Xenopus tropicalis: one gene and its partners. The protein of the gene in region 1 interacts with the protein of each later gene in a pairwise test. Links are inferred from orthologs where the notes say so. Each region holds a gene or a part of one and is shown in the gene's direction. Other genes may lie near its edges.

Region 1 (5,625 bases):
TTTGTTTAATCACATACCTACGCACAATAAGTGGACTACATACTCTAGATTGCGCAATACAGCCCGACAGCTATCTAAGCATGAGAATCTAGTTCTGCAAGCCCTTTGGGTGTGACGAAACATGGTCACTGGCAAGAAACAAAGCAGGAACCCAGACAACTACATTAGACCATGGTCATTATTACAACCTGTAGGGTGTTATTTTGGTGAGTGGGGGAGGTGGGTTCTAGGACATGAATACAGGACTGACAGGCTTTACAAATGATCATAAAAGGCATTTAAAGCACAATTCTATGTGTTTGGTAAAAAGATTTAAATATCCTAATCTGCTGCTGGAAATTTACTTGCTGGTTTTTTTTCACATTTTTTTCCCCCTTGACCATGAAAATTGGTAAATAAACCTCCCCCTATGTTCCTATAACTTCTAATGCCAATATAGTTATTACTACTAGTCTTTCAGTTTTAACCGCTTTTGTACAATAATAAATCATTAACTTTCATTGGGATTGCAAGTGGATTGGGTAAACAACGCTCTTCGAGTTTATGATCAATGAGGACACATTTATCTTTATGTTGTAGTGATTGAGGAGGATTAAAAAAAATGAATGAATGTGTGTGTTTAATAAACAAGTTTATTTTAAAAGCATAAGTTATTTGTAAAAGCATAAACTAAGGTTAAAAGCACCGTGCATAGTTATTCTAAGGGCCATGGCTCAGAGGCAGATTAGTCACCCATGGTTAAAGGGCACCTATCAACCTATATTGTTTCCCCCACCATAGGTGCGGGCTAATAGAGCCCACACTCCAGTTGGGGGAAACAATTGATTAAAAAAAAACTCCCCCTCGCCAGCACTGGGCTACCCGCACCAGGAGGGAGCCATGTTGGTCGGCACGAATGCGCATGATAAGCACATGTGCCTGATGTAGGAGTGGTGAATGTAAATTACCCTTCTACGTCACACACATGTGCACAATGAGCGAGTTGCAGCACTCACACTCGCGCATACGTGTGCCCCGACATGGCTACCTGCAGTGGTGACTGTGGTGCAGTGGAAAAACTATTGTTTCCCCTATCCGGAGCATGGGCTCTATTAGGCTGCACCTCAGGTGGGGGAAACAACATAGGGGCAATTGGTGCACTTTAAGGGCTCTGGCCCTTAGTCGCCCGCGACAAATCTCCTGTGTCTCGGGCGACTAATCTCCCCGAAATGCCATCCCACCGCTGCCGTGTATGCTATCCTACCGGCGATTTACATTTTCGCCGGTGGTATGGCAATCTGGGGAGATTAGTCGCCCGCGAACAGGGAGTTTTGTCGCGGGCAACTAATCTCCCCGTGTGCCAGAGCCCTAAGGGCAGTGGCAGACTAAGAGATTAGTTGCCCCGCAACAATACGGCATATGCGTTGCTACGATTTCCCGAACTTGCCCTAAGTACTTTGGGTGAAATCGTAGCGACACGTATGCCATCCCACTGGCGATTTACATTCTTGCCGGTGGGATGGCTTTGCGGGGAGGTTACCCGCGGCAACAAAAATCTGACTAATTTCCCCTTGTGCCACTGCACTAAATCTCAGCTACTGTGGGTAACTAGTCTCCAGGAAATGCCTTTCCACAAAAAGCACTTCCTTTCCCAAAGTTACCTGCAGGAGGCCAAGTATGCCTTCCCACCTTTGGAGCATTGTTTCTCGTTACACACAGGTAACATTACAGACATACTACTCATACAGCACCCACAAGTTGGGCAGCGCTAGAGAGATTGTTTTTCATTCACACCAACTCGTACATAGTGGCGCTTACAATCCAACTTCCCTACCACTTTTAACTAGCGCACAAGCGGGCTGATTACGAACCGATTAACCTGTTCTCGCTAATCAATAATACACGCCAACTAAATAAGGGTACTGAAAGACATACATGTGTTTAATGATCATATAAAGGTACAAAGTCGCAAGCCCTTGTTACGCTTCTGATTACTAAAACAAATACGTCGAATAAAATCCTTTGAATCCTACATATACTCACACCTTCCGAGTAACCTACTCATTTTCTACAGAAATATAAAGAAACCCCGGCTGGCTAAATCAATTAGACGTAAACATAAGAATAGGCGGAGCAAATATTGCACCACGTGGTACACCCTCGCAAATCGTAGTCCAGCTCCCGCTCAGCGAACGTGACGCCGACCTGAAGCGCTGTCAGCCATCTTGGAGCCGGGAGGAGCGCAATTCACCAACAGTCTCTGCAAAATTATTGTAAATTAATTCGGTGGTGCTGTCAACTCGGTAGCCAGCGATACACCAGATCGAGAAATTAAAGCAATCTACGGAAAACCCGTCGCGCTTTTCAAGGTGCAATAAGGCGGTACCGTCTGTAGCAGAAGAAACTGGGCGCGTCGGAAAACATGGTGCAATCGTGCTCGGCTTACGGTTGCAAGAATCGCTACGATAAGGATAAACCCATCTCTTTTCACAAGTGAGTGCATTTTGCGCTTTGCCCGGTAATATTTAGCTGGATAGTATTCTCGGTCCCCTGAAAGCAAGAGACGCATGCGCGAAGCTCGGTGCTTGTTCTAATGCTAGGCGCCTGCCGATACCACGTGGTCAGGGGCTGGGAGTGCGCGGCCTCGCCTTGTGTTACTGTGTGTGAGCTGCATCCAGTTGTTCAAACTTTGAAATAAATGGACCTAAGAAGGGGAAGAGTGATTTTACCTCATTTTTATTTTATCATATAAATATGTGGACTGGTATATTTAACGCTTTTGCCTTTTTTTCTGGTAAAAATTGCCACAATTGTGCATGTTATCTGAGTGAAACTTGTCAGAAAATATTCCCCCTGTACATAGGGTTTATCTGTGAAACAGTTGTATGTTACACAGCCTTCTCCTTCTCCAACATTGACTTGGCAAATTTAAGCTCTCAGTGCCTATGTTAAATAAAAGAAAACCCAAACCCATAAATATTTGTTAATTTAAACAAATAAAAAGTATGTCCTATTCAATAATAATCTTAAAAAGCATTTGCACAAAGTAATGTATCATACTGCTAAAATACCCCTTGGGTATCAAGCCTATTCATAAGTTAAGATAATATCACTTAGGAACATCGCATTCCAGTTAGGGTATGGGTAGGGAAAAAAGGAAAGGGATTTTTTTCTGAATTGTAACACCCTGTTAAAGAGAAATACATATATTTTCCATTATTATATTGTTGCTGTAAAAGTTGCCTTTTATGCAGTAGCATACCTAACCTTGGGTACACTTATTCAACAGCGGCGTAGTCACATGATGGAAAACTCCTCCATTTTGCTTCTCTGGTGGGCCTAGAGGGGTGCATTTCACCCCCTTGTAGTTACGCCACTGCTTTTATGTATGCATCTTCTTTATGGCTAATTAACCAATCATTTAGATCCCTGCTGTTGTCTTGCAGTTGGCCATGGGGGCTATATTCAGCCCTTCAGTATGAGTATGTTGCATTTATTAAAATGTATTGTAGTGTAGTGTGCTCATTACCAACATCAAATCTAACCTGCAGTCCTTTTGATATGTCTGGGTTCAGTGTGAGACCCCTGAAACTTCAGATGTTGCTCAGCAATGCTGTAGACTGTTCTTGATTCTGTGATCAATGTGGCAAGAATCTAATTTAACTGTTAACACTTTTAGCACTGGGATTAAAATGTCTGAATTGAGGAAGCCGCAATTGAAATAATATACTCCATACTTTCTTACTTTGCAATAATTTGTTTTAATGTCTTATTTTAAAATTTAAATTGAATAAATATTTGACTTTTTAAGAACATTGTTAGTACCGTATATACTCGAGTATAAGCCGAGTTTTTCAGCCCTAATAATGTGCTCAAAAAGGCACCCTCGGCTTATACTCGAGTATATACGTTCTCCCGGCCGTGCGCTCGCTTGCTCACACCGCCCAACCCTGGACATATGCGCTCGCATGCTTGCGAGTGTTGACTTACTCTATTTCATTGATCCATCACCTCGGCAGCCATCGGCGCGCAACTTACTCTATTTCATATCCAGCACTGGGCATCCGTCGCAATCGCATGCATCCCCCCGTGCGCGTGACATGTGTGCGCGGATGCCTGGTGCTGGATACGTGCATGCGATCGCGCCCGATTGCTGGAAAGGTACGTGATATGTTGTGCGCGACGAATGCCCGGTTACAGCATGATGGCTGGCGCCCGATGGCTGGCGAGGTGCTGGATCGGTGCTGGATCAATGAAATAGAGTAAGTCAACAGCACAAAAGGGCATTTAAAAGAACTCAGAGTTGCAACATGGGTCAACTACAAGGTAAGGGCATATTAAGTTGTTCGCTTTGATATTTTGAGTTTTGCCACAGAGACAGGCCCTTAGGCAGCAGGGATACACAGACTGACACACATAGACTGTACACAGGCTGACAGCTGCTCACTTTACACCTCCTGCCTCAGACTTAAGGTTCATGATTTTTGGAACATGTCCTCCCTCTTAGGCAATGGTTGACAGTGAATTATTACTAAGAAACCTAATGGGTTAAATAGGAACTGTGATCGATATGTGTTACTATGAGTATAGGATAACGTGTGCACTGCTTTCCAATTTTTGCCTCCTAAAAACAGACACTGATCATTTTCTCCCCTGATATACCTAAAAAGCAGCTGCTCTAAAGTCTTTGCATTACCAGGGCTAATTAAATACAATAATGTTGCACAAACTAAGGTGGCTTAACACAAGCCAGTTTTCTTATGGCCGGTCATTTTGAGTGTTTGAGAGACTGGATATACAGTATGTTGTTTTGTCAAACGCAAGGGTGGTTCTGGATGCTTCTCAGCTGGCCGAAATACACAGGTGGAGAAAATGCCCAATTTATTTATCTATTTTATTAATATATTATTTTCTCATCTGCAATGTTTTCTCTATCTTCCATGATGATGATAGCGTTTTGTGCAGGTGTGTTAAAAGAAATGGATGCCTAGGCTTATACTCGAGTCAATAAGTTTTTCCAATTTTCTTAGGTAAAATTAGGTACCTCGGCTTATACTCGGATCGGCTTATACTCGAGTATATACGGTAATATGTTGAAGTTGAAGGACAACATTTTAAAAATTTGAATTCCTCTTCTTTGCCCCAATAGGTTTCCCCTTAAACGCCCGCTACTCTGCAGGAAATGGGAAGCAGCTGTACGTAGAGCTGACTTTAAACCTACAAAGTACAGTAGCATTTGCTCTGACCATTTTACAGCTGATTGCTTCAAAAGAGAATGCAACAATAAGCTTCTTAAGGATAATGCTGTGCCAACAATATTTGCACATACAGAAATAAAGAAAAAGGTAAGAAAATCTTTTTAAAATGTCCAGTGAGAAATCATCATGAGGTTTCAAAGATTTTCAGCACATAATTACCTAACAATTATGTAGTGCAATAATTGTGAGATATTTTATGGATACCTGTTACACTCTTGCACTAAGGCTTAAAGGAGAAGGAAAGGCTAAGTCACTTGGGGGTGCCAAAATGTTAGGCACCCCCAAGTGACTTACATGACCTACCTTGTACCCCAGGCTGGTGCCCCCGTTAGGAGAAAACAGCACCAGCCCGGGGCACCTGTAGACACCGCTTCCTCCTTCCTTTGCG
Region 2 (4,066 bases), on another chromosome or scaffold:
TATGAGGCCCTCCGATGCATAATGTTGCTTTCCACCTGCGTTCAGCACTTACATCAACCTGTGTCAGTATAGGCCAGTAAAAAAGAATGGGCTGCCTAAAACACTACTTTTTCAGGCACATTCCTTCTATATGTATGTATATCTTTATTTATTTATAAAGCACTACTTATGTAAGCAGTGCTGTACAGTAGAATAGATTATTACAAATGGGGTTATTAAGATAATAATAAATACAAAGTATAACAATAAATACAAGGTACAGTTGAAAGAGTCAAAGACACAAGAGGACGGAGGTCCCTGCCCCGTAGAGCTTACAATCTATATGGGAGGGTAACTTACAGACACAAATCGGCAAATATAAGTGCTGTAGGTCACAGTGGGTAACATTACAATATAAGTGCTAGTCCCCAGATCAGGTGCTGGGTGAGTGCTCCAAAAGGTACTATCTTAGTTTAGTTTTAAAAAGACTGAGGGAGGATTCTCTCTGGATAATCTATATTTAGATTAGTATAATTATTTGGCATAATATTGTATATATTTTAAAGTAACATGTGACTATCCATCTCTGCAAGTTCCCTTTTCTTTCTTAATGCAACAAAACAGTATTTGGAGGAAGATAACACATTGCGGATCCCATAGCAAAGTGTATAAAACAGGAGAGGTACATCGCAGTACAACGCTCATATTGGCCCTGCACGTTGGGCTTCCTGAAAACACGTGTATTGCACCAATCAGGAGGAGGCTGTCCTTACAAATGAGAACACACCGTCAATATGTATTTACCGCCTACAAAGAGACATATGTACATGTTTTATTTATGTCCGTGTCTAATTTTAACAGGCCTCACGCTCAGCTAGCCATGCCACCTTAATTGCATCGATGTCTCCTTTTCTTCTAAACTTAAATGACCGGATTAACGTCGTCTTCCGCCGGCTCTATTTCATGTCCGTCCGAAACATATATGTTTGAATAAACCACGCCCCCCTACTTACGAAAATTGTCGAAGTTCCCGGAAGTCTTCTCGCTTCAGTAAAGCCCTTTTCAAAAGAAGCCGAGAAAATAGTAAGCTCCGCCCAATCATTTCCGGAAGCGGGCGAATCCTTAACAAGCCCCTGCCCCGCTACTTCCGGAAGCCGCCAAGCTGGTTGGTAAGCGTGTTGCGACTGCGTTGTCTCCTTCCTCCTCCCACTCCTTCCTCTGAGAACAAGAGCGCGAGAAGAGAGTGCAGGACTGGCGCTCGGACACGGCCTGCCGCCGCCATCACAATAAAGCGCGGCCATCATGTCTGACTTCGACGAGTTTGAGCGGCAGCTGAATGAAAATAAGCAAGGTAAGGTGAAACCCGGGAGCCGCCGGCCTGGGGCCGTATAATATGTGGCGTGGCGGGAGAAGAGGGAAATGTGCGCGGTTGAGGCCTAGATGGGGCGGAGTTTTTCTTTACGTAGCCCATTGGGTAGGCCCGAAGGTTCTGGTCCCGCTGGCGTGGGGCGGCCTGCCGCTTCTGCAACTCTGCCCTTTTATACCTTCCTTTATACCTTCCTTTATGCTGTGCGTTGCCATGGCCTCATTTGTTAAAATAATCCCGATTAAAAAACATATGATGATCGACCCAGCGACCTTACTTTGTATGGCTTTATTTGTGGCGCTATCGGGCTGAATCTCAATACACCCAATGAGACAGCGCCATTCACTGGCCAGTTTGTGTGAAACATTAAATAATAATTAAAATGGATCGTAGAATTTTTTCCCGTTCAAGCTTTATTTATTTTTATTTTTAAAGGTGCAAGCTATGGTCAGGGGCCACATACTAAGTTATAATACAGGGGAACATATATGGGGTATCAGCCATAGTCCAGAGGATATCTAGGGCAATAAATACTTGCTCATCCATAAACATCATAAACCTACAGGATGAGCTTATGGGAGAATCTTGAATAGCAAATAAGCATTCTCCCCAAATCTCTAACTGCCTTTAGTTTGAACCCCCAGCCCATGGCATAATGCCCCATAGTGCCCCCATAATGCAGTTAGCAATGTATTAGGCCTAGCTATTGGGCAGTCCTGTTCATCTACAAAGCAAGTTTTTTTTATTTTGCCATGACACCATTTTGTATTGCAACTAAGTATGATTGATTGGTTTCAGCTCATGGTGATAATGTATGAACTATGTTTCTAAGCACAGATGTACAGTGTATGGGGGGTTTAAATCAATGTTAAAAGAACAGTAACATCAAAATATGAAAGTGTTTTAAAGCAATTACAATATGATGCACTGTTACCCTGCACTGGTACAACTGGTGTGTTTGCCTCAGAAAGACTACTATAGTTTATATAAGCAAAGCAGCTGTGTAGCCATGGGGGCAGCCATTTGAATGAGAAAAGGCACAGGTTACTTAGCAGATAACAGATAAAATGCCATTGTATTCTACAGAGTTTATTTGTTATCTGCTATGTAACCTGTGCCTTTTCTCCTTTTTTCCAGCTTGAATGGCTGCCCCCATGGCTACACAGCAGCTTATTTATATAGACTATAGGAGCATTCTGTAGCAAATACACCAGTTTTACCAGTGCAGGGCAACAGTACATTACATTTTAATTACTTTAAAACACTTTCATATTTTGGTGTTACTGTTCCTTTAATGGACTTAACACAGTGATATAGGGTCAGACTAGGTCTGGTAAAGGGGTATTACAGGGATGCAAGTTGTACAGACCTTGTACCAAGCCTTTATCTGTACTATTGTTTGGATATAAAGGTCCAGTGCCTTTCACAATGTATGTTGGGGTATTAAACATACTGCAGTATTAAATATTTTATAAAATAATTTTAGCCGGTGATTTGGGGCTTAGTGTACCTTTCATTGGATCAAGTTCAGGGTTCTTAGATGCAGAGAGTTTAAAATCAAGGGCCTTTGTGTGTGTTTACAGGGGAATTCCAGCAGATATTCCTAGATATTAAAGCAACAGTTACATTAAACAATTAATTACATTATAATGTACTGTTGCCCTGCACTGGTAAAACCGATGATTGCTTCAGTAACACTACTATATATAAACACGCTCCTCTGTAGCCATAGGCACAGCCATTCAAGCTGAAAAAGGTAAAAGGCACATTGTTTGAATCCATGTCTAAGAGCTACATACACGTAGCTTATTTTATTTTTTAATGTTACTGTTCCTTTAAACTAAACCATTGGTGTGATATGTAAAGTTTCCTGACTTAAAAACTTTTATATATACACTAATATGACTAAATGTTTACTTTTGTAACAAACATAACCTGCCAACTTACAGCGCATACCTGGGCTAACCTGCAGCATGCAGCCATTTCACTGCTGTTTACTGATCTGGGGCGTCACTAGTGCATTCCAGTTTGGATGCATTATCCTCAAAATACAGATTGTATTTGCAGGAAAACTACACTATTCAGTGATTTCTCATCTGTTTGGGTAATTTGCAAACTTAAACCAAATCACTTTTTTACCCGTTTGATTACACAATCCTTTTAGCTCTTTTCCATGCTGTGATTGTAGCTTAAGGACTGTGACACAGGAGTATATTAGTCGGAGCGTGACAAATCTTCCTTGTTGCGGGCGACTAATCTCCCTGAAATGCCATCCCACCGGCTAGAATGTAAATCACTGGCGGGATGACTTACGTGTCAATCCTACGGTGCCTGTACCCTTAGTTGTAATTCATTGGTTTTAATGGAATAAGGGAATATTGGTAGGAGATCCAGTCATTTGGCGATCTCTCCCAACAAGAATATCTTACCATGTATGGCCACCTTAAGTCGTGTTAGAATCTGATAAAAAGTGGTATTGTACTGTACAGCGCTGCTTACATAAGTAGGGCTTTATAAATAAAGATATACATACATACAAGTGGTATTGCAATCTGTTATCAGCCTATTTCTTAGGGCTCTGGTACACGGGGAGATAAGTCGCCCACGAAAAATCTCCCCGATATGACATCCAACCGGCAAAAATATAAATCGCCGGTGGGATGGCATACGTGGCGGCACGGTCTACACAGATTTTTTTGTGAATTACCAGTTTAGCCCCCC
Region 3 (4,175 bases), on another chromosome or scaffold:
TGTAGTTTGCACATCACATTTTTCTATCATTCTGATTAGTTTGACCCATGCATCTACATCCAACTTGTACCATTCTACAAAATCTCCCATGTAGTTTAGCCCTAAGGCAAACCAACATCTATGCAAGTTGAACCCGAGTGCCACCCCTTCTCTCTTCTTCTAAAATCACACATTCCCTGCTGCCTCTGTCCCTACACACTCATTGGATAAATGGAAAAACCCTTATTTTGTAGGCAATTATGAATAATATATGGTGCTGGTTTCACTTTGGGCTAAAATTAAATACAGTCTGTAAAAATGGCCCCTTTATTGGAGCTCCCTATAGATCCTATCAGTTCTCTGTCCGAGTTTGAAATGAAGAGTGGGCGTGTCCTAACGGTCCCTGCCAGAAGCACAGTAGGAGGGGGATAGCCAATCACAGCCCTGCACTCACACAAGCAAAGACAGGCTTCAGTTCCCTATCAGGTCAGCCTAGCTGCTGATTGGTCCCTTTACTACAGTATCTGTACTGAGAGCCTGTGGCTCCCCTGCACATCCAGAGAATTCACCCAGCAGGAAGTGGGACAGATGGCCCATACTAGTGGGGTTTAGGTGGAATTTCTCAATAAATCAGTTCAAGCACAACTTTTTAAGCACAACCTTTCTATATTTAGAGGAGTATAATTCACTGGCACATTTTTTTTTTATGGCAGAGGCTCCTGCCTTTCTGTTTCAGCCAAGGATAAAACAAAAGAGCCTAAAACCTTGTTAACTTTTCGTTGTATTCTGCTAAATTAGCCCTTTTGTCCCTAATCTGTGAAACATCTGCCTCATTTGCACAAAAAGCTCAGAAAAATAGATTACTTCATTTCACTTTGCCTTAATTTGAACATGAATTACTATTTTTTGGGAGCAGAGGCACCAGTGGTAGTGGGTATTGCTGGCAAGCAGCAAAGAAATGGGTCTCATTTTGTTTGGGAACTCCCTGCCAATGTTCTTTTGGGTTCCAGAACTTTCTTAGGGAAGGAACCTGCACAATTCCAAGTTTATAAAAGTATAAAGGAAGAGTAAAATACAACTTCCGTTTTACCCTTGTTCTGACCATGTAGTGTGAAAAATATGCTCCCCCACCCTGAGGAGGAGGTTTTTTTGTTCCTGGCACAGGTGTAATTTCTAAAATGTGTAAGGAGGAGAGAAAGTGAAGAAAGCAATGAATGGCCAAATATTGGGAGCTGAAGCCCACTCTAATTCAGGAAATGCGGGCAGTGGGACCTGCTGCAGCCCCCACAGACATGATTGCGTGACACCTTGCACGACAGAGCCTCACGGCGGAAGGATTTAGCGTCACTGCGCTGCTCTGCGTGGCTCCGTGACATCATAGTCTCGCGAGATGAGCGGCGGAACGTTGGAGTTGGCTGTACGGCAGGATCTAGAGAGTAGGGCGCTAATGGCGTTTCGGGACGTTTAAGCAGCCGTCTGGGACTCCGGGTTGTGTTACGGAAAGCGGGAGAGCGGTATGCACCTGCCCTGTACTACCTCTCCTTGGGATTCATGCGCGTAGGGAAAACAACAATACGGGATGTCACACGCAAAGCCTTCCGCTTGCTGGTTTGTTTGAGGGGAACTGAACCTCAACAATGAATTAGACTAGGAATGCTACAGTTCATTTTGTTTTGTGTACCTGCTAGAAAGACTTTATGCCTCTGAAAATGCTCCCCATATTTTGCTGCTGGTCAGATACCCGAGTTTAGTGACAATGCACAATACAGTGCAGGTATTATATCCAAATTCACAGTATATGGCAGCACATTCAGGTATTATATCCAAATTCACAGTATATGGCAGCACATTCAGGTGTTATATCCAAATTCGCAGTATATGGCAGCACATTCAGGTATTATATCCAAGATCACAGTATATGGCAGCACATTCAGGTATTATATCCAAATTCACAGTATATGGCAGCACATTCAGCTATTATATCCAAATTCACAGTATATGGCAGCACATTCAGGTATTATATCCCATATCACAGTATATGGCAGCACATTCAGGTATTATATCCAAATTCACAGTATATGGCAGCACATTCAGGTATTATATCCCATTCACAGTATATGGCAGCACATTCAGGTATTATATCCAAATTCACAGTATATGGCAGCACATTCAGGTATTACCGTATATCCAAATTCACAGTATATGGCAGCACATTCAGGTATTATATCCAAGATCACAGTATATGGCAGCACATTCAGGTATTATATCCAAATTCACAGTATATGGCAACACATTCAGGTATTATATCCAAATTCACAGTATATGGCAGCACATTCAGGTATTATATCCCAGATCACAGTATATGGCAGCGCAGAAATCAGTGCAGCAGAATTGGCGTTAGCCCTGTAGCATCAGCCTCTGTAACAGATGTGAACTTATTTTCTGTAATGTTTTTATGAATTGAGTTGAACCCTAAGCTTAGCTTCTCTGCAGTACCCCAGAGCACACTGAGCATGTGCAATGTCACTGACACTCAAAAGATGGCCTAACTAGATTTCATGATATGGAGCTGCTTTGAACACTGAAGGCCTGAAACATTACTGTTACAGCTGTGAGAAAGTTCTTGGCCCATACAGCAAATTCTTAATACAGAGTACAGCATTTCTAGACAGATTCTTATTTAGGGTTCAGTTCTCTTTCAAAATCTAATGAGATGGCTGTGCAGCTACGCTGCATCTTGTCTGGGAAATTGACTTGCTAAAAATATGATGCCATGTTTGCCATTGCTCAAATATCCTGTAGACCATGTTATAATTATTCAGTGTTGCATTTTGCCTTCTGATATGTAAAACTACCAACCTAGCAATTGAGTTTGGTAGGGTAACCGTTTAATTACTCATTTCTCTGGTACCTTTTCTAAAAATCAATCACAGTGACAGTATGAACCCTTTGCTGAGATGCAGAGAGAGCAATAATCATAAGTGTGAATGTACATAATTACCTTCATCTGTGAATGTAAGTGGGGCATAGTTGAGTCAAGGGTGTCACAGTCAGTCTCACTTGCTGGTATGGATGCAGCCATTTGTAGCAGCTGTATGCAGTACACACAGTATTTGAGGTCTGTTTTATTTACAAATGGGATGCTTGTTAATATATTAGGAATATGTGCTGTGTAATTTGGTACATATAAATTATTTCACTTGCTTGTCTTTTGATTTTAAAGGCAACATTTTAATAAAAGAAGTTGCAGATATTACCTAACATTTCTACTTTATATATTAACAGCCCCTTCAAGATTATGGCTGCAGCTACGATAGTGCATGATACATCGGAAGCTGTAGAGCTGTGTGGCTCTTGTGGGCTTTACTTGAAGCCTATCACAAAGATGATTATCAGCGTGGCACTACCGCAGCTGAAGCAACCTGGAAAGTCCATATCTAACTGGGAAGTAATGGAACGTCTGAAAGGCATGGTGAACAACCATCAATTTTCCACCTTACGCATTTCAAAAAGCACCATGGACTTCATCAGATTTGAAGGGGAAGTAGAGAACAAAAGTTTAGTAAAGACTTTTCTAGCAGCTCTTGATGGGAAGAGTATAAAGCTAAGTGGGTTCTCTGATATATTGAAAGTCAGAGCGGTTGAGTACAAATTAGACTTTCCCACCAGACATGACTGGGATTCTTTTTTCCGTGACGCAAAAGATATGAATGAGAGCCTTCCAGGAGAAAGACCTGATACAATTCATTTGGAAGGCCTGCCTTGCAAATGGTTTGCGTTGAAGGATTCTGGCTCAGAAAAGCCAAATGAAGATGTTCTTATTAAGGTTTTCAATTTGTTTGGGGAAATTCGGATGGTGGACATACCTATGCTGGATCCCTACAGAGAGGAAATGACAGGCAGGAGTTTCCATACTTTTAGCTTTGGTGGCCACTTGAACTTTGAAGCCTACGTACAATACAAGGAATATGTAGGATTTGTAAAAGCCATGAACGCACTGCGTGGTATGAAACTTATGTACAAAGGCGAAGATGGGAAAGCTGTGGCCTGCAATATTAAGGTGTGCTTTTGTGCAGCGTTATTTCATGCAAATCCATTCTGTGGTCTTCTAGAACAGGCTTGGAATTATTGAGCAACTTGAGCTTTGCTCTGCAAATTATTAAACATTACTAAAGCCTTTCTGGCAATGTATTCTT

What was found. The genes of interacting proteins can lie anywhere in the genome.
Region 2: the proteins of thap1 (region 1) and u2af2 interact in binary tests that used the Homo sapiens proteins (3 or more experiments, as listed by UniProt). The two-hybrid records come from large-scale screens. The link is inferred for Xenopus tropicalis from reciprocal best matches to the Homo sapiens genes THAP1 and U2AF2.
Region 3: the proteins of thap1 (region 1) and akap17a interact in binary tests that used the Homo sapiens proteins (3 or more experiments, as listed by UniProt). The two-hybrid records come from large-scale screens. The link is inferred for Xenopus tropicalis from reciprocal best matches to the Homo sapiens genes THAP1 and AKAP17A.

The regions. Positions count from the first base shown.
Region 1 is NC_030677.2:112,769,574-112,775,198, reverse strand, and holds the start of thap1 (THAP domain-containing protein 1), read left to right. Parts: upstream 1-2,220; 5' UTR 2,221-2,401; coding exon 2,402-2,472; intron 2,473-3,246; exon of another isoform or gene 3,247-3,318; intron 3,319-5,128; coding exon 5,129-5,324; intron 5,325-5,625. UniProt on the Homo sapiens protein: DNA-binding transcription regulator that regulates endothelial cell proliferation and G1/S cell-cycle progression.
Region 2 is NC_030683.2:104,041,842-104,045,907, forward strand, and holds the start of u2af2 (splicing factor U2AF 65 kDa subunit), read left to right. Parts: upstream 1-1,266; 5' UTR 1,267-1,281; coding exon 1,282-1,330; intron 1,331-4,066. UniProt on the Homo sapiens protein: Plays a role in pre-mRNA splicing and 3'-end processing. By recruiting PRPF19 and the PRP19C/Prp19 complex/NTC/Nineteen complex to the RNA polymerase II C-terminal domain (CTD), and thereby pre-mRNA, may couple transcription to splicing.
Region 3 is NC_030678.2:38,922,324-38,926,498, forward strand, and holds the start of akap17a (A-kinase anchor protein 17A), read left to right. Parts: upstream 1-1,375; 5' UTR 1,376-1,493; intron 1,494-3,264; 5' UTR 3,265-3,277; coding exon 3,278-4,039; intron 4,040-4,175. UniProt on the Homo sapiens protein: Splice factor regulating alternative splice site selection for certain mRNA precursors. Mediates regulation of pre-mRNA splicing in a PKA-dependent manner.